Linked DNA regions of Canis lupus familiaris. The protein of the gene in region 3 interacts with the protein of the main gene of each other region in a pairwise test. Links are inferred from orthologs where the notes say so. Each region holds a gene or a part of one and is shown on either strand. Other genes may lie near its edges.

The links.
Region 1: the proteins of NUTM1 (region 3) and RIC8A interact in binary tests that used the Homo sapiens proteins (3 or more experiments, as listed by UniProt). The link is inferred for Canis lupus familiaris from reciprocal best matches to the Homo sapiens genes NUTM1 and RIC8A.
Region 2: the proteins of NUTM1 (region 3) and ZMYND10 interact in binary tests that used the Homo sapiens proteins (3 or more experiments, as listed by UniProt). The two-hybrid records come from large-scale screens. The link is inferred for Canis lupus familiaris from reciprocal best matches to the Homo sapiens genes NUTM1 and ZMYND10.
Region 4: the proteins of NUTM1 (region 3) and P4HA3 interact in binary tests that used the Homo sapiens proteins (3 or more experiments, as listed by UniProt). The two-hybrid records come from large-scale screens. The link is inferred for Canis lupus familiaris from reciprocal best matches to the Homo sapiens genes NUTM1 and P4HA3.
Region 5: the proteins of NUTM1 (region 3) and FAM161A interact in binary tests that used the Homo sapiens proteins (3 or more experiments, as listed by UniProt). The two-hybrid records come from large-scale screens. The link is inferred for Canis lupus familiaris from reciprocal best matches to the Homo sapiens genes NUTM1 and FAM161A.
Region 6: the proteins of NUTM1 (region 3) and SH2D4A interact in binary tests that used the Homo sapiens proteins (3 or more experiments, as listed by UniProt). The two-hybrid records come from large-scale screens. The link is inferred for Canis lupus familiaris from reciprocal best matches to the Homo sapiens genes NUTM1 and SH2D4A.
Region 7: the proteins of NUTM1 (region 3) and SAMD4A interact in binary tests that used the Homo sapiens proteins (3 or more experiments, as listed by UniProt). The two-hybrid records come from large-scale screens. The link is inferred for Canis lupus familiaris from reciprocal best matches to the Homo sapiens genes NUTM1 and SAMD4A.

What each region holds. Positions count from the first base shown.
Region 1 is NC_049239.1:25,713,967-25,718,013, forward strand, and holds the start of RIC8A (synembryn-A), read left to right. Parts: upstream 1-1,247; 5' UTR 1,248-1,357; coding exon 1,358-1,441; intron 1,442-1,653; coding exon 1,654-1,701; intron 1,702-1,786; coding exon 1,787-2,374; intron 2,375-2,816; coding exon 2,817-2,908; intron 2,909-3,430; coding exon 3,431-3,581; intron 3,582-4,047. Other genes in the region: BET1L (BET1-like protein), read right to left, coding at 58-76.
Region 2 is NC_049241.1:39,416,503-39,420,523, reverse strand, and holds the start of ZMYND10 (zinc finger MYND domain-containing protein 10), read right to left. Parts: upstream 2,801-4,021; 5' UTR 2,658-2,800; coding exon 2,566-2,657; intron 2,304-2,565; coding exon 2,195-2,303; intron 1,269-2,194; coding exon 1,152-1,268; intron 1,032-1,151; coding exon 978-1,031; intron 858-977; coding exon 723-857; intron 617-722; coding exon 528-616; intron 436-527; coding exon 335-435; intron 8-334; coding exon 1-7. Other genes in the region: GATOR complex protein NPRL2, read right to left, coding at 3,879-3,946. UniProt on the Homo sapiens protein: Plays a role in axonemal structure organization and motility. Involved in axonemal pre-assembly of inner and outer dynein arms (IDA and ODA, respectively) for proper axoneme building for cilia motility.
Region 3 is NC_049251.1:1,030,957-1,034,456, forward strand, and holds part of NUTM1 (NUT family member 1), read right to left. Parts: intron 3,080-3,500; coding exon 2,389-3,079; intron 364-2,388; coding exon 235-363; intron 1-234. UniProt on the Homo sapiens protein: Plays a role in the regulation of proliferation. Regulates TERT expression by modulating SP1 binding to TERT promoter binding sites.
Region 4 is NC_049242.1:24,127,079-24,130,578, forward strand, and holds part of P4HA3 (prolyl 4-hydroxylase subunit alpha-3), read left to right. Parts: coding exon 1-7; intron 8-2,597; coding exon 2,598-2,761; intron 2,762-3,021; coding exon 3,022-3,198; intron 3,199-3,500. UniProt on the Homo sapiens protein: Catalyzes the post-translational formation of 4-hydroxyproline in -Xaa-Pro-Gly- sequences in collagens and other proteins.
Region 5 is NC_049231.1:63,114,868-63,118,367, forward strand, and holds part of FAM161A (protein FAM161A), read right to left. Parts: intron 2,849-3,500; coding exon 1,682-2,848; intron 1,323-1,681; coding exon 1,155-1,322; intron 1-1,154. UniProt on the Homo sapiens protein: Involved in ciliogenesis.
Region 6 is NC_049237.1:22,874,002-22,878,224, reverse strand, and holds the start of SH2D4A (SH2 domain-containing protein 4A), read right to left. Parts: upstream 2,801-4,223; 5' UTR 2,473-2,800; intron 2,463-2,472; exon of another isoform or gene 2,309-2,462; intron 2,168-2,308; coding exon of another isoform or gene 1,461-2,167; intron 1-1,460. Other genes in the region: collagen alpha-2(I) chain-like, read left to right, coding at 1,461-2,167. UniProt on the Homo sapiens protein: Inhibits estrogen-induced cell proliferation by competing with PLCG for binding to ESR1, blocking the effect of estrogen on PLCG and repressing estrogen-induced proliferation. May play a role in T-cell development and function.
Region 7 is NC_049229.1:30,959,994-30,963,493, forward strand, and holds part of SAMD4A (protein Smaug homolog 1), read left to right. Parts: intron 1-1,499; coding exon 1,500-1,833; intron 1,834-3,500. UniProt on the Homo sapiens protein: Acts as a translational repressor of SRE-containing messengers.

The DNA.
Region 1 (4,047 bases), on a different chromosome or scaffold from region 3:
CCGCCGGAGGCCCCGGGCGGAGCAGCCGCGGCCCCCCGACCCCAACCCGCCGCTCACCCCGCGCCCAGTCCGCCATGGCGCCCGCCCCCGGCCCCGTCCCCGGCCCCGCCCCGCCAGCGGCCCAGCCACCGCCTCAGCGGACGTGGCGCAACCGGGGAGGACCGGGACCCCGCCGCTTCCGCTCTGCCCGCCGACTTCCGGCCGACGTCCGGCCGACTTCCGGACTAGGGGGGCGGGCCTTAAGTGCCGAGGACGCGTGACAGACGCCGCCAGCGGCCAATGGCGCGGAGGGCGGGGCCGGGTCCCGCTCCGGGCGTCCCCGCTTTCCCCCGCGGGCCTGGCTGCTGGGGTCGCCGCGGGTCCCCGCCCCAGGCGTTGCCGAGGGGACGCGGTGGAGGCCAGGGCCTGGAAGACGCAAGGGTGACGCACTCCGAAGGGAAGCGAAGCCAGACGGGGGCCGGGAGTGTGGGGGCAGCAGAGGCCGTAGCGGCCGGTGCCTCTTGCCTTGGTCCCGGCGCCGCGGGAACGGAGGCGGCCCACAAAGGCTGGCTGCACGGCGGGCACCGCTGCGACCACACACACGGGAGAGGGAGCTCAGTCCAGGCCACACACCTGGGACGTGGCTGCCGGTGATCCTGACCCTCCCCGCCCTCCCCTGGAGCTCAGGGACATGTTTGCGTCCCCGCCGCGGCCACCGAACGACCTTCCCCCGGATCCCTTCTTATCGTCCGGCCTCAGCAGAAATGCTACTTCCGCACATCCCTTTGCAGCCCACTTTATTCGCCACAGCGCTGAGACCGCTGCCCGTGGCTCCTTGCCCTCACGTGCGAGCTCACGCTCCCAGAGGGCCGGGAACCAGCGGTCGGCGGGTCCCGGGGCCGCAAAGTCCTTCCCACTTCGCTTTTCCCCCGGACTTGCACTGGTGCTAGGCATCTAGGGGGGCGTGCGTGGGAAGGTGAGTGGGTCCCCGTTAGCTTCGGAGGCCGCTCAGCTCCGAGGTCGAAAAATCACCTAGTAGGACCTTTGAAACTCGCGCTCACTCCCCGGCAAAACACTCAAGTCCCAGCCAGCTGATCCAGGTCTCGCCCCCTTAATGAACCTACAGCCCTGGCCCCGCCCCGCGGCGCGCGCTCCCAGTCCCGGCATGCCGCGCGCGCAGCCCTGGCCCCGCCCCGCGCGCTCCCAGTCCCGGCCTGCCCCGCGCGCAGCCCTGGCCCCGCCCCGCCCCGCCCCGCCCCGCGCGCTCCCAGTCCCGGCCTGCCCCGCGCGCCCAGTCGGGGCGGAGCGGCGGAACTCCGCCCGGAGCCGGGAAGCAGCTCCCCTTCCCGCCGGCTCGGCGCGGGATCCCGGAGGCGCCATGGATCCCCGGGTGGTTGCGGATGCCGTGGAAGCGGGCGAGGAGGACGTGATCATGGAGGCTCTGCGCACGTACAACCGGGAGGTGAGCGCGAGCCGTGAACGTGCTTGCACGGAAGAGGTGGGCCGGGCGGGGCTCGCGTGTGCGGACCCGGGCCTGCGGGCTGCGGGCGGCGGGCGGCGGGCGGCGCGCGGCGGAGGGGCCGGGGTCTGCGCGCACCTTGGGGGACGGGGAGAGGCGGGGGGGGTGCGGGCGCCCGCGGCGGCCGAGCCCGCTGAGCCTCCCCGTCTCTGCAGAACTCCCAGAGCTTCACGTTTGACGACGCCCAGCAGGAGGACCGGAAGGTGGGTGCGGACCGAGGGCAGGGGGCGGGGGCGCGTGGCCCCGGGGTAGGGGGCCTGCTGGAGCCGCTCTTCTTCCCGCCCACAGAGGCTGGCGGAGCTGCTGGTCTCGGTCCTGGAGCAGGGCTTGCCACCCCCCCGCCGCGTCACCTGGCTGCAGAGCATCCGCATCCTGTCCAGGGACCGAAGCTGCCTGGACCCTTTCACCAGCCGCCAGAGCCTGCAGGCCCTTGCCTGCTATGCCGGCATCGCCTTGGAGGGGTCTGGCCCGGAGCCTCTGGACATGGACGTTGTCCTCGAGTCCCTGAAGTGCCTGTGCAACCTCGTGCTGAGCAGCCCGGTGGCACAGGTGCTGGCAGCAGAGGCCCGCCTGGTGGTGAGGCTCGCAGAGCGCGTGGGGCTGTATCGCAAGAGTAGCTTTCCACACGACATCCAGTTCTTTGATCTGCGCCTCCTCTTCTTGCTCACGGCACTTCGCACTGACGTTAGGCAGCAGCTGTTTCAGGAATTGCGGGGAGTGCACCTGCTGACTGATGCGCTGGAGCTGACCCTGGGAATGAGCCCTGACGAGAACCCCCCGGAGCTTCTTCCTCCCCAGGAGACCGAGCGGGCCATGGAGATCCTCAAAGTGCTCTTCAATATCACCTTCGACTCCATCAAGAGGGAGGTAGACGAGGTGAGGACTGACTTGAGCCCACAGGTAGGGCTTAACGGTGTGGACACTTGCTGGCTCTGTTTGCCTATAGCGAACTCGTAGGTTCCAGGTATCAGACGGGGAGAGGACGGGAAGAGCTCTCAGCCTATTGGGAGGAGGCAGGGAGCTGTACATCATGTACAGGGGCCTTCAGAGACTGTCTGAGAAAGGCAGAGGGCATACCTGGCACTTGCAGCCTGGTAGGAGGGCTGTTTGGTACATGGAGAGGTCACGAGCAGGACACTAGAGTAGGTTGTGATTTTTATCCCAGGAAGACCTGGTAATGGTCTTGGTTAAGGAAATGCTTTCAAGGCTACGTGGGGGAGGACGAGGGGTTGGGCACACAGTAGAGAAAATGCATAGTCCGTGCATGTGATCCCAGAGTGGGGCCTCCTCTCACAGGAACCCCTTTCTTTTTGGTCAGGAAGATGCGGCCCTTTATCGGCACCTGGGGACCATTCTGCGGCACTGTGTGATGGTCGCTGCTGCTGGAGACCGCACAGAGGAGTTCCACGGGTGAGGGTGGGGCCCGTTCAATGGAAGGGAAGTGTGCTCAGGGGTCTAGACAGTAGTTCTCACCCTGGCTGTCGGCTAGGCTTCCCCCTGGAGAGGCTTCACCTACAGGGGTGGGATTTCCATCAGTGTGTGTCTATGGTAAGGGGCTAGGACAAGAGAAACGAATCCAAGAACGGTATCTGTGTCTGCAGTGGAGTTAGTAGTAACCAACCACGTGGTAGTTAGCGAGTAACTGCTGAGTTCTGTTTCGGCGACTTGTGCCTGGGCAGGTTCTGGCGCTCCAGAGATTGTCCGCGGGGCTTCAACCCAGACGGAGCGTGCCCCCTTTCTTAGGAACTCACCCCACCGACTATGTGGGAACATCTCTAGGGTCAGTCTCACCCTCAGTACCGGCCCCTGGTTCTGGTCATCAAATCCCTAGATGCTAGTTCAAGTCACATGCGGCCTCTTTAGGGGGCAGCAAGGCTTGTACTTATGCTGGGGGGTCGGACCTATCAAGCCCTCCTCCTGATCTGTCCTCAGCCACACAGTGAATCTCCTGGGGAACTTGCCCCTCAAGTGTCTGGACGTCCTCCTTACCCTGGAGCCACACAAAGGCTCCCTGGAGTTCCTGGGAGCGAACATGGATGTGATTCACGTCCTTCTCAGCTTCCTGGAGAAGCGTCTGCACCAGGTGGGCAGAGGGACCTGACCTGTGGGGTCCTCAGTGGCTCTGACTTTCCCAAGCAGCCTTGATCACTGCTTTTTTTACGGTCACACTGGTAAGCAGAGTGTGATTCAGGCCATTTCTCCAGCTGCTTCGTGGTCCAGTTTGGCAGAAAACCAGATTCTACCTCCCTCAGAAACACGTGGCCCCTCTCACACGCACACACTTGAAGGTTTTACCTGTGCTGGTTATCTTGACGGGTTTTCAGAGTCAACAGCGGAGTTTGTGTCTTAGAGCTGTTTGTGGCTGTCTCTAGAATCCTTGCCTGTGCCGTCAGAGCACTAGCATTGCTGTGTGCAGGCAGCCCTCGGGACGAGTGACACTTGTCTCTTGGCATCCCTTGGGGAACCCACCACCACCTCGAGCCAGAGGCTGCCTGGTTCCCATGCCTGCACACAGGACGTTGGCCAGCTAGACCTCCAACCAGCCCCTC
Region 2 (4,021 bases), on a different chromosome or scaffold from region 3:
ATCTTGCCTGGAGAGAGGAGCCAGAACACTAGGAGCAGGTGTTACACACTCTGAGTCAGCCAACTGAATGGGCTGGGGTCCTGAGTGCTGCCCGGGTGCACGACTCACCAAGGCTGGTGTCTGCTTGCTCCAGAGCGGGGTGAGTCTTTAGCAGTGGACACACAGGCCTTACCTGCTGCAAAGCCCAGGTCTAAGCTAGTTTGTGTGAGGCATTCTGGGCTCCTCTATGAGCTAGCGGGCAGTTTGTGAGCAAGCTGCCTGTCCCCATCAATCCTGGGGTATGTCTGGGAAGCCATGAGCTGGGGCTTAGGCAAGGGGGTGGGGAAGACCTTACCACCTTCCTGTCGGCTCCAGGGACTGTGTTCCAGCAGTTCCACCAGGAGGCAGGGCAAGTTGTGGGTACTGAGCATGCAGTTCAAGGTGCTCAAGGAAAGGCTAGGGGTGGTGGTGGAGAGAAGTGAGCGGCGGCTACAGGCCCAGGATCCCAGTCCTCCACTGCAGGTCTTGGGCCTTGCAGGACTGCCCACCTGTCCACACAGTCTGTGATGTAGCGCAGCACTGAGAGGGCCTTCAATGCGATCTCAAACTCCATCAGCTCTGCTTGCTTCTGCAGCTCCTGGGTGGCAGGGGCACATGGTGCTCTAGCTGGGCCACCCCCTGCCTGCTCAGGCCTTGAGAGAGCGTGTTATACCCACTGGCACCTCCAGGGACCCTCAGCCTACCTGAATGGGGGTGCTCTCCTGAGACTCCTCCTCGGGAGGGCTGCCACGGCCACTTCGGGCCACCAACATAGTCAGTTTTCGGTGGCAGTAGTCTACCAGGTCCAAGACAGCGTCCTCTGCTGACTCACACACCTCCTGAGGGACAGGCAGAGGGGAACATTCTGTCTCTGATGCTCTCCCCACACAGACACAACCCCTCTTCCCAGTCAGGCCTTAGCCTGTGGCAACAGCTTGTGGACAGGGCTGATGCCTCACTTTATGGAAGAACACTGTCTCCAGAAGGTTGATGATAGAGGCCTCGTGGTGTACCTGTCAGATAAAGAGAACAGAGCGTGGAGCCACTGAAGGAAGAATCAGATTACCAGCTCTCTTGTCAAATCCAGAGCCCTCTAAAGGCATGAGCAGGGTGTGACCAGGGGCCCAGCTTACCACCATGTATATGGGAAAAGTGTTCTGGGGCTTGAAGTCCTCCAGCTTGCACAGCACAGGGAACACCTTCTGCTTCCACATCTCCACTGCAATCAGCTCCTCCACCAGTGTTGGGATCTTTGAGGGGGAGAGGAAAGGACAGAGATGAAGTAGGCCTACCTTGGCCTTGCCACCCTCCCATCCCTGGCTTGGTCCTGCCTGACTCCTCAAACTCCCCTAGGCTCCTAGATTCTCTCCATAGGTACCTTCCCAAGCTCTCTCCTGCACCTTAGACCTTCATTTCTAGCTGCTCTCAATAACTTTGTGGGGACATTCCCCATGCTTCCTATAACTGGCTCTTGCTTTGTCCCTGGGCTGCCTTGGCCCCCTACACCTCCCCACCCCAACTACACCCTTGTCCCCTCTGTCCTCATCCAGGTGTTCCTCTCAGGCTGGCTCTCCTGTTCATGCCCTCCTTGTCCCTGTCCTCCTGCCTTCCAAGGTTCTCATGTGCCTTGACCTCACCCTTACTCAGGGCCCTGCACAATTTCCTAGTCCTCTCCCACCCTCCAGTAGGGGGCTCCACCTTTTCTTTGCAGAGGAACCCTTTTGTCAAGTGATATCTCAGGTCATTTATTTGAGTCACCTCCTGGCTCATTTTCCAGGTAGGCTCATCCCTGGTTTCTAATTCTTCTCTCAAGTTATGAAGGCTGCCTTCTTCCATGCCAAAGTTCCACCTCCACTTCAGTGAGGGCCCCCTCTGGCCTGACAGTCTATTCAAGGATGTCTTTAGAACGTAGGCTCTCCCCCTACAGCCTGGGCTGCTGTATGATCTACGACTATCTCTCAAATCAACCAACGTCTCACACTTGGCCTAGTGTGCCAGTGTCCTGTCCAAAAGGGATGCAAAATCAAATCTGTAACACACTCCTCTCTTTTCTCTTGGGGAAGACAAGAGTACCATCTAGAGGGAAGTGAAGGCATCCGAGGTGCTCCTGAGAGGTAGAGTGGTGGGGTGAGAGGTGGTAGGAAGGGCAGGAACCCTGCCCGTGACCCCAGCATACCTTCCCATGGGTGACCAGCAGCTCCTGGATGGGCTCACCCTGGCTGGCTGTAGCATCAAGGATAGCCTGCATGTTCAGCTTCTCCAGGTTCTCATGCTGCTGGTTCCACCTGCCCCAGAGAGAGGGGGTGGATGTGTTTTGGGGTGCTACTGAAGCCTAACCTGGGTTTGGGTACTATTGAATTTGGGTATTACTGAACCTAATCAGCCTAACCTGATCCTGAGGGGCCAGAGGGGGCTCAGAGATCTTTGTCTCCTCACTTGGGGATTCCTCCACACTGGGTACCCTCTCCCCCGTGTCAGGCCCATACTCCTCCATTCAAGGACTCTGACTCTGTGACACCGCCCGACCCTTGGATCCAGCTGCCTCACCCTCCGGAGCCCATCTCGCGCAGCGGGAAGCTGCGCAGCCCCCGCACCAGCACGTCAGCCTCCCCCGGCAGCAGCAGCTCCAGGTCGCCCATGTTGTGGCCAGGGCCAGGGAGCCAGAAGGCGGGATTCAGTTGACCCCGGACAGCAGCCGGCGCTGGGGCAGGGGAGCCGAAAGTCTCCGGCTGGGTCCAGGCTGTGGACGCAGCTGTTGCGGAGCGGTTGGGGCGCGTGGGTCCTCGCCGTCATGGAAACGGTTAGCTCGGCGCCTGCGCAGTGCGGCCCGCGCAGGCTCCGGCCCCGCCCCCGGCCCCGGCCGCCTCGCCTTCCCCGCGGCGGGTAAGGAAGCCCCTTGGATCCCAAACTTCTCCCTCACCTCCGACTGCGGCTCGAGGGTCTGCCCTGAGCGACAGACTCCTGTGGCCTAAGCTCCCTCCTCCGACGTCAAGACCAGCTCAGGGACAGGGTCATGCTGCCCCCACCAGCTCTTCCTGTCGCGGCTCCAACTCCGCCGCGCGGATGCCCCTCTCCGTGGCTTTCTCGCTCCACTACGTCTGGCGCCGGGCTCCGCCTGCTGGCTCTACCCCCCCAGGTACTGCGTAGGGGCCACGTCTTTCCATCCCAGTCTAACAGGCTGCCACCACCTCTCGTGAGGAACTAACTGCTGTAATCTTTTTCTGGGTGACTGTATGGCTGCCTCCAGTTCTTGAAATAGTATGTCCAAACCAGCTTACCAGCATCTCTGCAGTATCACTTTTGCCCCTTCGGTACTTCATTTCTTGCCCCTCTCCCCATTGCCTCTTATGTTCCAGCCTTGTGGGCCTCTCTGGAGTTCCTCATACATCCTAAAGCTGTTTTTGCTTTGGGGCTTTTGCACCTGTTACCCCAACCTGGAATACTCTTCCTCCATCAAGCCTCAGTTCAAGTCACCTCAGGGAGGCCTTCCTTGCTTATTTAATCCAGAACAGCTTCAGCTCCCACCCCACCCCATTCTTGATCACAGCTACCTGATTGTTCCTTTCTGGCTGTTTATTTCAGTTCCTAATTAGTGGACACATTTGTCCATAGTTAGTCCTGCCACCAGATGGCGCAGCAGTGGGCCAGGACCACCGCTATTTCACTGCCAGTTCTCAGGTGGCTGGTTCAGAGGCGATACTCAATAAAGGTAGGTTGAAACAGATGCTTTTATTTACAGAACTGAGGGTCACCCCTGAGACAATACGGACTAGTCTACGGGTCTAGCCCTCATGCACCAGACAGCGCTTTGCAGGACGAAAGCAGCCACAGTCGTGTGCCTAGTTTAGCCCCCACCAGCCTCACTTCCAGCAGATGATGATATTGGGGTCATTTTCCAGCCGTTCATCAAGCTCGTGGTAGCTCATGCCTGTTTGGGACAGTGCAGGTGAGATGAGCAGTCTTGCCTTGGCCACCTGCCCTGACCCCACCCCAGCTGCAATGT
Region 3 (3,500 bases):
CCCATTCTTGGAGCTTCAGTATCAAGGACCTGTATGATTCAGGATCTGAAGGAGGGGGAGCTCCCAAGGGAGGACAGGAAAACCCGAGGGTCAAGGTGGTGGAAGCCGTGAAAATCCAGGAGGCCCCACCTTAGTCTACACCAGTCCTCCTGGCACCCCTTTTAATAATCACCCATGCCCCTGTCCCTCAGCCTCCCAGCACCCCTCAGGAGAATGGGGGTTGCTCAGACTCACTTTTCTGCCATCTCATAAAAGATCATCCGGTCAAAGTTGCTGGTGTGCTCCCACTCCTGCACAGCCCTTGGCAGTCCCTCCTCCAGGGTCATAGAAGGCTTCAGCCGGGCCAGGGAGCGAAGCACAGGGCTAAAACCCCCATCAGGTCAGTCACGTTCCACAGTGGACCCCCAATCCACCCGTCCTCACAAACACCTCAACATACCCCACTGTCCCTCAGTAGATCTAAGTTGCCTCCCGATCCTTGTCACGCTCCACGGCTTGTTGGACCTCCAGACCCCCAACCTCCCATCCATCCATCGACCACACTGGACTTTCTTCCTGCTGAAATCTTCAAATCTCACTCAAGATCAGATGACTGAGTCTGCCCACGCCACCCCCAAAGTTTGAAATCAAGCACCCCAGTCCTCACAGTGCCACTCTTGACTAAACATTAGGAAGAATGCACTTGTTAAAGCACTTATTATAATAATATAATATAATAATATAATAAGCGTTAAAGCACTTATTAAAGCAGTGGATTCACGGTAAAGTAGGCTTAACCCTGCCCAAAGGCTCTTACTTTCAAAAAAAAAAAAAAAAAAAAAGGCACTCCCTGACCCAAATGAATGTCTAATGAAAGGATGAAAGGCTGTGTGGTGTTTTTATTTATTGGTGTTTAAGTGTCTTCTTGCCTCTGGGATGCCCTTCACACACAGTCCACTGTCAATACTCCTCAAGCTCTTCGTGATTCATCTTTGCCCTTCTGACCTGCCTGCATCCTCAAGCACATGCCTGGAATCACCTGCTGGAGCATGTTTTAATTAGGAATTCCAGGGCCCCAGGATCTCTGCACGGCGAATTCAACCAGCTTCCCAGGCGACTGTTGCCAAGAATCTGGATCGTACTCTGGAGGAGACCCTACCTGGGGCCCCTGAGTACGGAGGGCATGGAGAGGCCAGGAGGGAGAAATGCAGCCTGCCGGGCTCCACGAGAACCCAGAACCCATCTGGAGAAAGCAGGGAGTGGAAGGTGGTCTACACCCAAGACTCTGGGGGAGCCTTTAGAGGTATTCACTGCAGAGTTGGGGGAGGGGGAGACTCCTCTAGGAGCCCAGAGGCTGAGGAACAGTACACCTGTCTCTCCAGCCCAGTAAAACCTGGTATGTGTTACACAGTGGTCGACATAGGATGCCGGGAGCACCGTGCAGGTGGGGGAGGCAGCAGGTCTGGGTGGGAAGAAGAGAAGCTTCCCCAGACAGCTGGCTAGTTACTCGGCCTTATGAACAACACAGGCAGCCCCTGACCCCGAGGTCCCTTGCTAGGCATCCACTCACAGGCAGCCCTGCCATTTGGGAATTCTTCCCCTTGTCTACATTGCCCGTTTATAACAACAGTACTGATGATAGTAGCTGCCACTCCACGAGGCCCTGTCTGTGCCAGGCGCGCTGCTACAAGTGTCACAGATACTGACTCATTCCATCATCTCAGCAACCCTCTGAGGTAGGTACAACCAGCCCCTTTCCATATGAGAAAACTGGGCTCAGGCCTCAGTGTGGGGCGCTCAGGATCAGCAGTCCCACAAGCAGCGGAGGCTAGGCCAGGGTCCCTAGGCTCCTCTACCACCTGCCTGGAATACCAACTGGAATTCTGAATAAGCTAGGGGGACAGTGGGGGCCAGGGGCAGCACGCCCTGTGCCCAGCCCCACAGCAGCCTCCACTCTCCAGGAAGGGTCAGGGCCCAACACCCATCCTGCTGGTTTGGATGGCTCAGTGTGAGGTCAGACAGTAATAAAATAGATGGGAAGGCCCCCAGATGAGGTGCCAGAGACCTGAGCTCCACTTACGGTTCCTCAGCTTAAAGATAGGAAACCTCTGAGCTCCAGTTTTCTCCTCTACAAATGAGGATTATGTTAAAACGCTTGCCCGCCTGAACTCAGGGCTGTGAGGCTCACTGGAGAGAAGACACCTGCAAGCTTATATAGCCTGGGAAGTGGGTAAACAGGCGCAGCAGCAGCAGCAGCAGCAGCACCTTTATGCTTTCCTGCTCACAGAGTATCTCTAGCACCCTCCTGACCTGCCCTCAAGGACCCCTAAATCACACAATCCCTGCTCCACCCCAAAGCACTCCTTGTTGGGAGTGCTAGCACAATTAACCTCAAATCTCCCCACTTACATAAGAAAGCAGGAAAGGGCTTCTGCATCAGGTCTGTGAGATAGGTGCCTCCGCACCAAGGCTTTGTAGCGCTGCCAGCGACGGAAGTTCTCATAAACACCTTTGGAGGTATAGGAGAGGTCACCCAGTGACGGCTTGGCTTGGGCGGCCGAAGGACCTCCTTCTCTGGTTGCCCCGTGTGGTCCTGGCCAAGCCTGTTCTGGGCGCACGACGGAGGCCAGTTGGGCAGCTGGTGTTGGAGCCTGAGCAGGAAGGCCTGGGAGGCCCTCCGGGCTCACCCCAATGGTTTTGGTGGGCAGAAGGGTCTTCACGTTAGGGGCTGTCACGAATTGACAGGAAGGACCCTCAGGGGGGGCCATCTCAGCGATCCAACTGAGGGCTGGCTGAGTGAGGATGAAACTCTGAGTTTGAGAGGGCTCCACCGGCCCCCCTTCCGTCTTGACTTTGACAACGACTCCAGCCCCAGTGGGCCCAGGGCCCCCATCCCCTGTCACCAACAATGGGCTAGGGAGAGCAGAGAGCACCAGAGGGTTCCCTGCAGAGAATGCTGGAGGCAGGGGGGGCTGTGGAGGCGGCTCCCAGGGGGACTGGTCTGGTGGGCCAGGAGCAGACTGGGGGAAGGGGAGTGCACTGAAAGAACACAGGGCAGCACCGGGTTTCAGGGTCACATCCTGTCCCGGCAGTGGAGGTGCTGTTGAGATGAGAAGAAAAAGAGGGAATGGAGGAGGAGCAGAGGATGCCAGAGGGTGGGTCGTTGGAATCCCACTTAGTCCCTGCACTCAGAGCGCCCGCCCCCAACAGGTGAGGGAAGGGTGTGCTGGGGGACCCTGCAGCGCTGGCAACAGTCCTCTGAAAGGGATGTTGACGTCCCTTACTCCTGGGTGAGAGTGCTTGCCCTAGAGAAGTTGTGCGACCCTTGGGCGCTTGGGCTCACACTCCCTACACACGGCACCCAGCACACAAGTGCTGGGACCCGTCCCGCCCACTCCAAACACGTTCAAACCACCTTAGCCCCGCGCCTGACGGCTCTGAGGTCCCCGCCACGGCTCACACAGGCACTGTTTCCTGGACAGAGTGGGTGGATTAGAAGTTTGGTTTCCAGAAATTTTGTC
Region 4 (3,500 bases), on a different chromosome or scaffold from region 3:
CTCTATAGTACGTAATGACAGAAGATGAGCCACAGCTTTGACTTACTGGGAAATCCCTTCTGCTCCTGGCCTTTAATCTCTGCAGGGATAAGACAGCTATGTTTTTTTTTTTTTTTTTCTTCTAATTTTATAATCCAAGCCGCATTTCTAACTTTTGGATTGAATCTTACTTATCTATGTATCAGTGTATCGGGGGAAGTGTTTTGGTTTGTGGGATGATGCCAAGAAGGTATCAGCCTGTCCCTTTCCTCTTCCACGACCAGCTGGATATACATTAGTGCTGTCTCGGGGGGAACAAATCCAGGACTGGAAGTGAATAAAGTAGATGAGAGCTGTGTGTGCAAGAAGAGTGACTCCACAGGTATACTTATTTTGGCTGTTTCTACAGAGATACCAGTTCTTCCCTTTAAACCAGAGCTCACTTGGCTATCAAGCATCCTGCTCAGTGAATGCAGGGTTGAGCTTCGACCCTCCTCACACAGTGCGTCACCAGAATTCAATGGGAGGGAGACTTCCAAGCTTAGCTCTTTACTTGGATATTTTTACTTAAAATTTTGGTGGAAGCTGGCTTCCCAGATTTTCCTTTAATAAGATATTGAGATACTAAAGTAAATAAATAATCACTATTATATTTTAATATTTATAAAGTATTTCACATGACTTTATAATTGTATGTATTGCTTGCTTTTTTAAAATTTAAATTCAATTTGCCAACATATAGTATAACAACCCAGTGCTCATCCCAAGTGCCCGCCTTAATGCCCATCACCCAGTTACCCCATCCCCCCACCCACCCTCCTCCTCTTCTGCAACCGTTTGTTTGTTTCCCAGAGTCAGGAGTTTCTCATGGTTTGTCTTCCTCTCTAATTTTTCCCCACCCAGTTTCCCTCCTTTCCATTATGGTTCTTCTATTTCTCATATTCCATATATGAGTATAACCATATGATGATTGCCCTTCTCTGATTGACTTATTTCACTCAGCATAATACCCTCCAGTCCCATCCACGGCGAAGCAAGTGGTGGGTATTTGTCCTTTTTGATGGCTAAGTAATATTCCTTTGTGTATATATATACCACATCTTCTTTATCCATTCATCTGTCAAAGGATATCATGGCTCCTTTCACAGTTTGGCTATTGTGGACATTGCTGCTATGAACATTGGGGTGCAGGTGTCCTGTCGTTTCACTACATCTGATTGCTTTTTTAATGAATCTATTTAATAACATTATTCCATTCTGATAGTTGGGCAAGCAGCATACAGAAGTAGCTATATGGTCTGGAAACATGCGGGCAATTACTCCGGGCAAAATGATAACCCAACTCTTCTTTATTTTTTATGCTTGCTCTGTTAAAATCTGCCCATCCCAGAGAACTCAAACTATGCAGTTCTAGGTGGAGAAGTAGGACACAGCAAATTGAGATTACCAGTTATATTTCTGGCTTTGCAGTCTTTTCACTGGGGTTTTGGGCTCATCATTTCCATTCTCCCAAACTTCATTTCTCCTCTTGTTAAAAAAAAAAGGGTAACTTATGTCCTATCTTTCGCCAGAGTGGTCGTGGTGGTAGTTAGAAGCACACTGAGCTTCTTAGAGAAAGATGCATTGGGAGCATTAGAACAATTCAGCACGTCCTGAGAGGCACTGAAAATCATGCACAGAGACTAGCAGGCCATGGGTAGCTGCCAGCCCATGGGCGTCCAACAGCCAAAGTGGGCACCAGTTGGTGGGCACAAATAAGACATCAGACCCCTATGGGAACCCAAGCTAGAAACAAAATCTAGAACCAATTTGTCTCATACTGCTCTGTTCTGTATGTAGGCCAGTTAGGAATTTTGAAGGCTCTATTAGATTTGGGAATGGATTAGCTTTCACTGCTCCAGGGAAGAATAGATTGGGTCTGCCTGCTTTTCTTTTTCATGGCATTTTTGGGTTTCATTGTGAGTAGTTATTTAATGTCGCTTTTCTCTATTAGGCTCTAGACTCTGAGAGATTAGCCTCTAGCACAGTATCCAGTACATGGTAGATGTTCACTGAAGATTTTTTGAATGGGTAAATGAATGAGTGAATGAATGAAGGAAGGAATGAGTAAAGCTTTTTTCCCATTATGTAAAACTTACCATCATACTTTCCTACTGCCATCGTTACGATCCCTTGTTTGTTTGTTTTGTTTTGTTTTGTTTTTTTAAGATTTTATTTATTTCTTTATTCATGAGAGACACACAGAGAGAGAGAGAGGCAGAGGCATAGGCAGAGGTTGATCCTGGGACTTCAGGATCACACCCTAGGCCAAAGGCAAGTGCTAAATCATTGAGCCACCCAGGGATCCCCATGATCCCTGTTCTAATAGTGTTAAATACCACTTTCCTTCCCAAAGTCCTTTGTACCCTCAGATCTACTGGGCCTAACTCAATCTTTTTTTAATACCAGGTGCTTTTCTGAGAGTGAGGGCCTTATATCCTCCGGTGCATGGACACAGGAGCTTTTCAGGGTGTCCAGTTGCTGGTCATGTGTGACAGGGAAGCTTTAGGAAACCTTGGCAGCCCTCCCTGAAACCATTGCTTGTTAATCTGTATTATCCCTGCTCTGATTTCTTCTAGGTCCAGATAATAAGAGGATGGCCAGAAATGTGTTGAAATATGAAAAGCTTTTGGCTGAAAGCCCCAATCAGGTGGTAGCTGAGGCTGTCATCCAGAGGCCCAACGTACCCCACCTGCAGACCAGAGACACCTATGAGGGGTTATGTCAGACTCTGGGATCCCAGGTAGGATTCCTCAGGGAAAGAGAAAGGGGGAACAAGCTAGAGAAACAGAAGGTAGAATTGGAATGATGTGAGGGGGGAAAGGCTGATGCATTAGAAAAAAAAAACAAAACAAAACAGCTTATTTGGATAGTATCAGAGTGACCACATTCTGAATCTCCTGCATGCCAGTTTTTTGTTTTTTTTTTTTTGTGCCGTAATTCCCTACATTGGCTTCTGCTCGACCATTCACCTCTTATGCTGATTCTAGGCTTTCCTTCCAGCCTACTCACTACCAGATCCCTAGCCTTTACTGCTCCTATGAGACAAATTCAAGCCCCTACCTGCTGCTCCAGCCCGTCCGGAAGGAGGTCATCCACCTGGAACCCTATGTTGTTCTCTACCATGACTTTGTCAATGACGTGGAGGCTCAGAAAATTAGAGGGCTTGCAGAACCGTGGGTGAGTGTCCCTAAAGCCTGCCAAGAACTTCTGTTTGTGTCATCACATGCCTGGGGTTCAGGAATGTGAGAACAGGCAGCCTGAACAACTACACACTTTAGCAGGCCAGGAATTCAAAATGCCAACTGTTCCATCAAACAAATAAATGGTGAAAAAAATCACAGTAGTCGTTGCTTCTGGAAGGAGGGGATTCGCTGGGGAAGGCGACAAAGGCATTTTTCTGGGGTGTTGAAAATGTGCTCTCCATATCTTGTTAGGGACATGGAGTACACTGCTGTGTGCACTTGTTAAAATTCAGCAAG
Region 5 (3,500 bases), on a different chromosome or scaffold from region 3:
AAAATAACATGTAAAACATACTAACTCTACCAAGATAATAAGATTACATGGATTAGAGAAAAGAATTGTACTACAGAATGATACTTATGATTAATTTATACACAAAATTGGTATTAGGAAAAATCCAGTTTACTTTCTTGGGGTGGATAGTATTTTTCTAAAAAATTCTGCTCAAGTTTATCAAATTAAGTTCCCTGTATTATTGAATTACACTGATATACATTACATGGAATATAAACATAATATACATTATAAAGAAATATAATTGCTATATTAAAAAGGAATACCAATAATAAGTAAAAACCAATATATAGATTGGGGGGTACTTATAAATCAGATTAAAAATTAATAAATCATATTACTTATCCAGCTTTGGGGGAGATATTTTCCTACTTAAACATGAACATTTTTTACATAAAAATGTTCCTCTGGAACACTGGTTTTCAAACTTTGTATTGCAGAATTCCAGTGTTCTGTGAAGGGGTTCTGCAAATATTTTTATTTATTTATATTTTATTATATCAAAACTCCAAGAATTGCAACACACACCACTAAACACACACGTGTTAACTGACATATCACATAACTGATGTTAATTAACATCAATGTGTTAATTTGTGATCTCAAATTTCATGCACCTTAGAACAAAGCTCTTCAACAGACCTATTGAACAATATTCTGAGATTACACAGCAAGCTATTAAACGAGAGCTTTATCTGTAGGAGTCAAGATTTTTCAGTGTTAACTATACTGGAATTAAAATACAAAACTTAAAAAGAAGATTTTTCTCAATATCGTTACAGTGCAACCAAAAGTAGCATAAGGAAGGGATGCCCGGCTGGCGCAATCAGTAGAGCATAGGACACTTGGTCTCAGATCATGTCACGTTTGGCCCCACAATGGGCATGGAGTCTACTTAAAAATAATAGTATAGAGTAAAAAAAAGGTTAGATACTGACATAAGATTACAACTATTAACTATGGCCACGATATAAAACATTTCTGCTCAGCAACATGGTTTTAGGGTCCTCACCATGAGGTGAGGTGAGTGAGTTTGAGTGTGTGTGTGTGTGTGTGTGTGTGTGCACATTGAGTGTAAGTAATTGATAGCAACTTGAATCCAGAAACTAAACTACTAAATTCTTTTAGGATACCTGAGAGATTTGACTCTGGATTTAGACATCTGAGCTAAACTTTGATGGGAGTCATAAGCTTTAGCCCGGATTGTCAGGAGTTTCTGCAATTCTTTCATTCTTTGCTTCTGCTTAGTTAGGATCCGATTTCTCTCTTCTTCCAACATTTTCTTTTCCTCAAGTGATCTCCTGAGGGCAACAAACTAAGGCTTAATTCACTTTAAGCCAGTAAGAATGTTGTTCAGCAAAGATTTAACACAGGAAAATTCAAGCGTTGAAACTAAAGGCAACCTTTTGAGAAGGCTTTGACTTGTGAAATTGGAAATCAACAGGCTGACTAACCTTTTCTATCCCAAAGATTGGAAATGGAAAATATACTCATTTCTTAGAAGTACATCCTCTGGCAAAATGCTCTATATTATCTACCAAAAATATGTTGCCAAATATAATTTCTTCATATTTTCAAATTGACTGACATAAAATCAATATGGCTACAAACACTGTTTTAGCAACCATGGGTCAGCTAGTGCTATATTCTAGTCGTTTACCTTGTGGCTTGTTCTCTCCCTCTGGAAGACACTGTGGGCATTGGAGGGGGGCAGTTACAAGGCACAGGCTTTGCACTTGCACTTCTTCCTGGTGACTTGTTTCTTGGAGACAGAAAAGACCGTGTTTCTTTTGAATGTTCCTCATCTGCTGCAATGTCTGCCAAAATTTTCTCTCTTTTAGTGGATGCAGTGGAGGCTGCGTGAAGATTGGGTGGTTTATGGGAGGTTGGGAGTTTTGAACACTTCTGTTCTGAGAGGTGTTTCTGGTATCCCTCAGGAAGCTTTTCAAAATCAGCAATCTGGCATCTAAACTTGTGTGTACACTTCAGTCTTTCAGGCTGCTCAGGACGCTTGAGCTTCCTTGGAGCACAACTTTTGTGACCTGACCTAGAAGGTAAAGGGGATGGATTCTGCAAGAGCTCTTGGGCTTTCAGCTGTGTCATAATGTCTCTATAGAGCTCCTCTTCTTTTAACTTCTCTTTGGTAGCTGAGCCATAAGTAGATCGAGGCACAGGTCTGGCCTTAAATCGATTTGTTTTCTTTTTAGACTTAAACAAGTCTCTCAGCTTCTTTTCCCGGATTGCTTGCTTCTGTTCCTCTCTTGCAATGAACTTAAATGGCTTTTGTGAGGCCAGAAGAGCTTCTTTGTTCTTTTCCTTCAAACGCTTTCTGCGGTCTTCATTTTGCTTGACTAGGTCATGATAAAGGGGGAAAAAGACAAATGCAGGAACTGGAGTGGCTCGGAATTTTTTCTTACACTCTGATTCTTCTTCTTGTTTTTTGAGCAGTTGGTGTACCATTTCAATATCTGATTTTGATTTCATGTTCTCTTCTTTCTTCCTCTGTTCCCTAATCATCATCTGAAAAGGCTCAGGAACCGTAATCTTTGGCACCCATTCTCTTGGTTTCTTCTTTGTTTTTTCAACGGCTGGGAAGTAAGCATCTTCACACCGAATATAATCTTCAACAGAAAAGTTTGTCCACATGTTGTTGATGAGCTCTTTTGCGTAGCTCATCACTACCCTCTTTTTCTCAGGATACTCTTTTTCTAAGTTGGGCAACTCATCTTCAGAGGAAGACATAATCAAGGAGGAAGACGGCCCTAAATCAGGCTCTGAAGATGTCATTAATGAGATAGGGTGATAAGAGTTCTTTTCTGATTCAGACCTAAATAAGAATAATAATTAAGTTACACTCTCAGTTGCATGTGACCAAATATAAAAATTAAGAACTATAAGATCAAGGTATTATCAGTCAGAAGGCAGGAGCTGGATACATAAAGCTTATAATTATCAACTTTTATTTAGAATAGAGGTAAGAGATCCTCTAATTTAACTCCCTCATTTTACAGGGGAACTGAGACAGCAGTGGCTCCTTGTGGCTAATGTCTATTAAATCCTCCACATATTTCTCAGAGTCACCATCTTAAAACATACATCTAGTCATGTCATTCCCCTTCTTGAAACTCTTCTATGATTTGCCATTGTAACAGAGTCAAGTCTAGATCATAAAGCCCCTTCAAGACTAGCCTCTGGCCACCTTTCCTGTTTCACCTCTAGCCTCTTTCGCCCTCCAGTTACTAATCTTAAGTCATATCCAATCACATGAAGCTCCTCACATATACCATGATCTCTCATACTACCATGCCTCTGCACATGTGGTTTCTGTTGCCTAGAAGCCCACTCCTTGCTTCCTGCATCTGTACAGCTACTCCTCCTTTAATACTGAACTTGGATATGACAGTTCTATAGAAAATTCCTGCCTGTGTCCCTCTACCAACACCATGACATGATCAATTGCTGCTTCTTCTGTCTCCATA
Region 6 (4,223 bases), on a different chromosome or scaffold from region 3:
CACAGAACACCTAGCAAGGACCCCAGCATGAGCTTCTGAAGAGCTGTGTGCCCTTCAGCTGTCATTTCACTACTTTGTTTTCCCATTCGTGAAATGAGGAACTGCACCATACATCTTTGTAATGTGAAGACTATGTCATAGTCTATGTGAAGTTACAGACACAAGTGGAGGTAGGGTAGAGGAAACAGGAATGAGGAAACTAACCAGGGTTTTTCCCACTTTCAGTCCCTGAAAGGACAACCACTGACACTGATTCAAACTTTGAATGACTTTCCTCATCTAACACACTTGAGAGCAGCAAACTTCCAGTTATTCAAGATCCAATAAAAAGAAAAGCTAAGCTAACTCAGTTTTCTTCTCATATAGCACTTTACTTAAAAAAGGAAATGACAAGCAACAAGCCCAAATCTGCTATTTATTCCAAAACTAAATTTCTAAAGGGTGATAGGATCAGTTGTTTTCCAGGATAACATACATTTGGCCTGACTCTCACATCATCCATAGCCCTGTTCGACAAAATAAAAATTGTGTTTCTCATGATTCTAAGACCTTGGGGGGGGGGGGCAGGTAGATAAAGCCTAAATTATAGCAGTAATGTAATATGGACAGTAAAACTTTAATGGTAAGAATATAATTTAGAGCACCTGTGTGGTTCAGTCAGTTAAACATCCCATTCTTGGTTTGGCTCAAGTCAGGATCTCAGGGTAGTGGGATTGAGTCCTGCCTTTGGCTTGGCACTGACCATGGAGTCTGTCCCTGTCCCCCCTTTCCTCCCCCTACTGCCTCTCTCGCTCTCAAATAAATAAATAAATAATAAATAAATACAATCTTTTAAGAAAATGAATATAGTTTGAATATAGTTTGAATTGTACTTCTTTTAAAATGGCTGGCTATTTTCAGATTTTCATTTATCTTATTCAACTTCACTTAATAGAGTTTATCTGCAAAAGGGCTATTTTTTTTCTAAAGATTTTATTTGTTTATTCATGAGAGACAGAGACAGAGAGAGAGACACGTAGGCAGAGGGAGAAGCAGGCTTCCTGTGGGGAGCCGGATGAGGGACTCATTGGGGATCAGGACCTAAGTCCAAGGCCGACTCAACCACTGAGCCACCCAGGTGCCCCAAAAGGGCTATTTTTGAGGATAAAATGATTTACCAGAGGTGATAGCAATTTGGTAAGTTTTGTACATATGTGCCATTCTTCAGAAATGTGAAACGACTGTACAGATTTATCTAGGAAATTGCACTCATGGGCCAAATCTACGCCTGCATAGGACTTCCACGTGTTTATTCACTTTCTAAAGCTCCAAGTCGTTAGTATTCCGTCCGCAATCCGAAGCCTCTCAGGCGGGGGCCTGGCTGGCTCTGCGGGTAGGGCATGCGCAATCTTGATTTCCCTGTTCTGAGTTCAGGCGGGTGCTCGTGTTTACTTAAACAAACAAACAAAAAACCCTTTTAGGAGGTGAGGAGACTAAGATTAGAGAGAGGTGCCCTTGCTCCTGCGCCCTGCGCCCTGGGAAGGGAACGATACCGTTAAGGAAGCCTATAAACTGGCACCTGCGCGCGCGGCTCTCGGTGCCCCCGCGAACCCGAGGGCCAGAGCGGGCAGGGGCGGGCAGGGCGCCCACCCGACTGGGAGGACCGAGGCTGGGCTGCCGTCCTGCGGGCGGGCCCCGGGGAGCCGGCTGCCCCGCGGTCCCGGAAGGTCTGGGCGGCGGAGTTCCGCGCGGGCGCGGGCGCGGGCGCTCGTCGGCGGGGGCGGGAGCGCGGTGCCGGGCCGCGGAGGAGGCCCGGACCCACGGCAGGCACAGGCCCCGCGGGTGCTCCGGCGCTCCCGGCTCGCCCACCCCCGCCGGCCGCCTGGGCTTGGTGACGCGCCCGCGCCCCTCCCGGTGCCCCAGAAGTGCTCGCCTTCCCCCTGGGGCCGGCGCCTCCCGCGCCCCCACCCGCACGGTCCCGCGTTCTGCCCCCTGGCCCCGCCGCCCCCCGCACCTACCGGGCGGGGCCCGCGCTCCCCAGCAGGTGGCCCCGGGCCACGCGGCGTCCAGCGGGGCCGAGACGGAGGGAAGGCGGCTCAAACCCTCGGCCTCGCTTGTGCAAACAGTGTCCCTGCGCGCCCGCCCGCCCGCGCTGCCCCACCCGCGGCCCGCGTGCCCCAGCGGCTGACTGGGTGCTCGCGGCCCCACCCGGGCCCCTGGACGCGCTCCAGGCCCAGGCGTCGGCGCGGCCTGCTGCCCCAGGGGACCCCCCAGCCCGGGCACCCGGCCCCGAGCTGCCGCGTGTGGGGGCCAGGCCGCCGCCCCCCACCTGCAGCCCGCCGAGGCCGCCGCGCCCTCTCGGCCGCGGGACGCAGTGGTGTCAGCGGCCCGGGCCTGCTCCGCCGCGGGGCTCAAGGGCTCCTGCAAGCCCGGGCCTGCGGAGGCGGGAGGCCTCGGTCACACGGACAGCCCCAGCAGGCCGAGTCAGCTCACCTCCCGGGTCGCCTCCCGACTCCCGGAGCTTACTCTACCCGCCCCGCCCCCGTTTGTTGACATTAAAGTCATTTATCAGACACTCGGGCACTTGTCAGCACAGGCCACAAAGCTTTGTAGGGCAGAATCAAGGAGGCGAAAGGCTGGAAAGATGCAGGCTGCAAACAACAGACACGGAGGGAAAAATGAAAGAACTCTGGAGAAAGGAAAGAAGGTAAAGGAATCTTGTGAATAGCAGCAAGAACAGGTTGGGGTGGTGCCGGAAGGGAGGAGCTGACGGAGTACAGGAAAGTTGGGCAGAAGCGAGTAGAAACGTTGCAGGGCGTTTTCCATTGTGCAGGAGCGTTGGGAATGTGCGCGGAGAAATAGCCTGCTCTGGGGAACCCCACCCTGCGCATGGTGGGGAGGAGTCAAGAACACTGAGCCTTCTCTAGTCCTCTCCACAGCCCACCTGATACATTCAGGGGTCTGATTGGCTTCCTTCAAAAGTGAAACTTTCTTCTTCCTAACTTCTCTAGACCTCAGAAGTTACTCAAAGTTAGAAAGAGCCTTGGGGGCAGAGAGAAGTCCTTGAGAACCTATTTAGGAACCATTCTAGGGATCGCATCAGGGGAGAATTTCTGGTTTACTTTTGGTTCCCACTGCTTATTAAATGAATGGCCTGTGACTGCATTTGGCTGGATTGTCTCTTGCCCCTGGGTAGCGGCTGTGGCCAGCTGAAAATGAATCCTCCCATTTCATGGATCCAGCAGTTGAAGAACTAACAGGTGGTTCATCAGTCAGTAAAATTTTCCTACAACGGACACTGGTTGCAGCGGATGACCTTCCCCGACGCTCAAGTTCATGTGCTGATAAGTCTTTCTTTATAAGAGTACTCCCACTTGGCCACTAACCTGTCTGTACTTCGGTTTTCCCTTCTGGATAATAACAACGCCTACCTCATGAAGTTGTTGTGAAGGTTAAATGAGATGATATATGTAATGTGCTTAGAATAGTTCGTGGACTGGTGAATGTACAAATACATTAGCTTATACTATTTCACATCACATACTGCAGTTTCAAGTTATAACTTCATACTCAGACCTTGGATTTTGCCTTGTGTGGTACCTAGACTCCATGTTAACCTCAGTGATCCATCCCCACCTCCTCAGTATGTCACTTCTGAGATTAGGTTGTAAAAGACGTGAGCACATGCCTGGCTGGGCATCCAGCACTGGTCTTTGAGGCACGACTGTGAGAACACCAGCCTCAAATTTGTAGTGCACTTTCTGGCCCACCAGCAGCCTGGGTGACTGCTAAGTGTTCTCCATGCAAGCAGTGGGCAGAGCCGCTAACCCTGTGAACAAGATGGGAGATGCTGAAGCAGGCAAGAAGATCTTTATTTAAAAATGTGGGGGCACCTGGGTGGCTCAGTCGGTTAAATGTGCGCCTTCCACTCAGTGGTGATCAGGGTTCTGGGATCCAGCCACACATGGAGCTCCCTGCTCAGTGAGGAGTCTGCTTCTCTCTCTCTCTCTGCCTGCCGCTCCCTCTGCTTGTGCTCTCTCTCTCAAATAAATAAATAAAATCTTCTTTTTTTTTTTTTTTTTTAAATGTACTCAGTGCCACACAGTGGAAAAAAGTGGAAAACACAAGACTGGTCCAAATCCCTGGGCCTTTTGAGATGAAAAACAGGACAAGCACTAGGATTTTCTTATTCCAGTGCTATCAAAAACAAAGGGGTTATCTGTGGAGAGGAAACTCTGATGGAA
Region 7 (3,500 bases), on a different chromosome or scaffold from region 3:
CAGAGAGGTTAAGTCATTTGCCCAAGGTCATACAGCAGTGTCTGAATTTGAACCCCAGCATCTGTCCTTAAGTCTGTATTCTTCACCACTACCCCAAATGGGTGGGTGGTGTGAATGAGCAGGTTCCTTCATCCAAAACAAATAAATCCTACACAGGACAGAAACTTACATATGACCCAACTTTATTATACAGCTTCTTAGGGGTATGCATGTACACTATCCAAATGTTTTTTTTTTTTTATAGAAACTCACTGAAGAAGCCAGGGATGGAAATGTGAAAAAATCATTTTATTTTTATTTTTTTAATAAATTTATTTTTTATTGGTGTTCAATATGCCAACATACAGAATAATACCCAGTGCTCATCCCGTCAAGTGCCCCCCTCAGTGCCCGTTACCCATTCACCCCCACCCCCCCGGCCTCCTCCCCTTCTACCACCCCTAGTTCGTTTCCCAGAGTTAGGAGTCTTTAAGTTCTGTCTCCCTTTCTGATATTTCCCACACATTTCTTCTCCCTTCCCTTATATTCCCTTTCACTATTATTTATATTCCCCAAATGAATGAGACCATATAATGTTTGTCCTTCTCCAATTGACTTACTTCAATCAGCATAATACCCTCCAGTTCCATCCACGTTGAAGCAAATGGTGGGTATTTGTCATTTCTAATGGCTGAGTAATATTCCATTGTATACATAGACCACATCTTCTTTATCCATTCATCTTTCGATGGACACCGAGGCTCCTTCCACAGTTTGGCTATTGTGGCCATTGCTGCTATAAACATTGGGTGCAGGTGTCCTGGCGTTTCATTGCATCTGTATCTTTGGGGTAAATCCCCAACAGTGCAATTGCTGGGTCGTAGGGCAGATCTATTTTTAACTCTTTGAGGAACCTCCACACAGTTTTCCAGAGTGGCTGCACCAGTTCACATTCCCACCAACAGTGTAAGAGGGTTCCCTTTTCTCCGCATCCTCTCCAACATTTGTGGTTTCCTGCCTTGTTAATTTGCCCCATTCTCACTGGTGTGAGGTGGGATCTCATTGATTTGTATTTCCCTGATGGCAAGTGATGCAGAGCATTTTCTCATATGCATGTTGGCCATGTCTATGTCTTCCTCTGTGAGATTTCTGTTCATGTCTTTTGCCCATTTCATGATTGGATTGTTTGTTTCTTTGGTGTTGAGTTTAAGAAGTTCTTTATAGATCTTGGAAACTAGCCCTTTATCTGAAAATCATTTTAGTGATCACCTCTAGATGGTGGGATTTTCAGGTGATGTACATTTTCCTCATTGTGCCTATTTGTATTTTCCAAGTTTTCTACCTGGTCTAATAGAATGATAAAACTAAGGTGATTGCATTTCCAAAGAATGTTGTGATGAAGGGGCCAGCAGCTGGGAGTCCTGTCTGGGAACCACTCGGGGCGGGGGAGGGGAGGCATCAAGGGGGAGGCCACCCCCATTGCTGATGCTAACAGAGGTCTTCTCCCTCTGACCATCCAGGACATCATCGAGGGGGGTAACCTGCGCATACCACTCCAGGAACTGCACCAGATGATCCTGACTCCTATCAAGGCCTACAGCTCCCCAAGTACCACCCCCGAAGCTCGCCGCCGGGAGCCCCAGGCTCCACACCCACCCTCACTGATGGGCCCTGAGGGCCAGAGCCCCGACTGCAAAGACAGTGCCTCGGCCAGCAGTGCCACGGCCAACACCTCCGCTGGGGCCAGTGGTGGGCTGCAGCCACACCAGCTGAGTAGCTGTGATGGGGAGATGGCTGTCGCCCCCCTGCCGGAGGGGGATCTACCCGGGCAGTTCACACGAGTCATGGGGAAAGGTAGAGCCTGATTCTCACGCCTCCCCCTTTTCTTCACTCTACACCACTAACCAGAGCTCCTGGTTCCTGAGGGGCTCCCCGGATGCTGGATCAACCTGTCAGGGTTGATGTCATTAGCCCATTTACAGATGATCGGAGTGAGGCTCAGAGGTCATCATTTGGATCTGAACTCTGATCCCTCTGGCCCCTAAAGGCCTCTTCCTCAACCCTGTCTCCTTTCTCTTCCACTCCTTCAGACCAGGGCTTGCTGGGCCCTCCTAGTAGAGTGAGTGCTCATTGGGCCTTTGGGCCTGCAGGCAGAAGTCAGCCCTTACTACAGACCAGGCCTGGAAGGCACCACGGCCATGCCCTGTGCCTGTCTGGAAAGCAGGACAGAATTCTCATGTGGTCCTTTGGGTAAGAGCACTCTTTCTACCTGGACTGCCCTGTGCCTCCCCTGTGCATGGCACAGTGATTATGTGATTATAGTCCTTTTTTTTTTTTTTTTAAGATTTTATTCATTCATTCATGAGACACAGAGAGAGGCAGAGAGAGAAGCAGGCTCCCTGCGGGGAGCCCAATGTGGGACTCGATCCTGGGTCTCCAGGATCACACCCGGGTTGCCCTGATTATAGTCCTTGAAAAGTCCAATACTAGAATAATTTGTACTTGAATGTTTCATAAGAAAGTGTGATTATTTTTAAAATGTAGTGAATACCAGCTACTTCTCCTTTGGGAAGGAGAAACAATTTTTTCTTTATTGCCCAATCATTTTAAAGAATCAAGTTCTTACCAAAAGAAATGGACACCTGAGTCTTACAGGTGCAGTGAGAAACTCCCTGTGTATACATGTCCTAAAAAAGACTTAGATCCATAGAAATCTGATTCAGAGGAGACAACTTGTAGCATCCCTTTGAGCTGAGAGGCCAGTCAGCTTGATGGCCAGGGTGAGTCCCTGGTCTCCCCCAACTCACCTCTGAGCCCTCTTAACCTCCTGACCTCCTACCTCTGAGTGGGTTCTTTGCTGGTGGGATTAGAACAGATGACCTCATGGGTAAAGCTACATGTAGGAGGTGGAAACCTGAGTATAATCCATGGCGGGTTCTGTCCTCAGAGGATCCAAACTCCTTTGGCATGGCTTCTTTTTAAACTTGAGCTACTTTCAAATTAATTACACAATAAATTCATGTTCAGCATAAAATCAAAACTAAACAAAATGATGGAAAGTGAAGAATAACCGGTCCCCCAGGCCCTGCCATCTTCCTCCCATGAGGTGCGTGTTCTAAACAGGCTTGGCTTCTCCCTTCAGAAACTTTATAATATTCATATACAAGCACGAGTGTCCTTTTTACACACAAACAGGTGTTGTTTACATGTCTTTATGCACCTTGTTTTTCTACATTATATATTTTTAATATTTCTATCAATATCATACTGATTCTTTTTAAGATTTTATTTATTCATTTATTTGAGAGAGAACACATGAGCAGGGGGAGGGGCAGAGGGAGAAGGAGAAGCTGACTGCTGAGCAGGGAGCCTGCCGCAGGACTTGATCCCAGGACCCTGAGATCATGACCTGAGCCGAAGGCAGATGCTTAACTGACTGAGCCTCCCAGGCGCCCCCGGATTCTTTTTTCAAGGTTGCATACTGTTCCACTGTATGCATAAGGCATAATTTAACAGGGCTC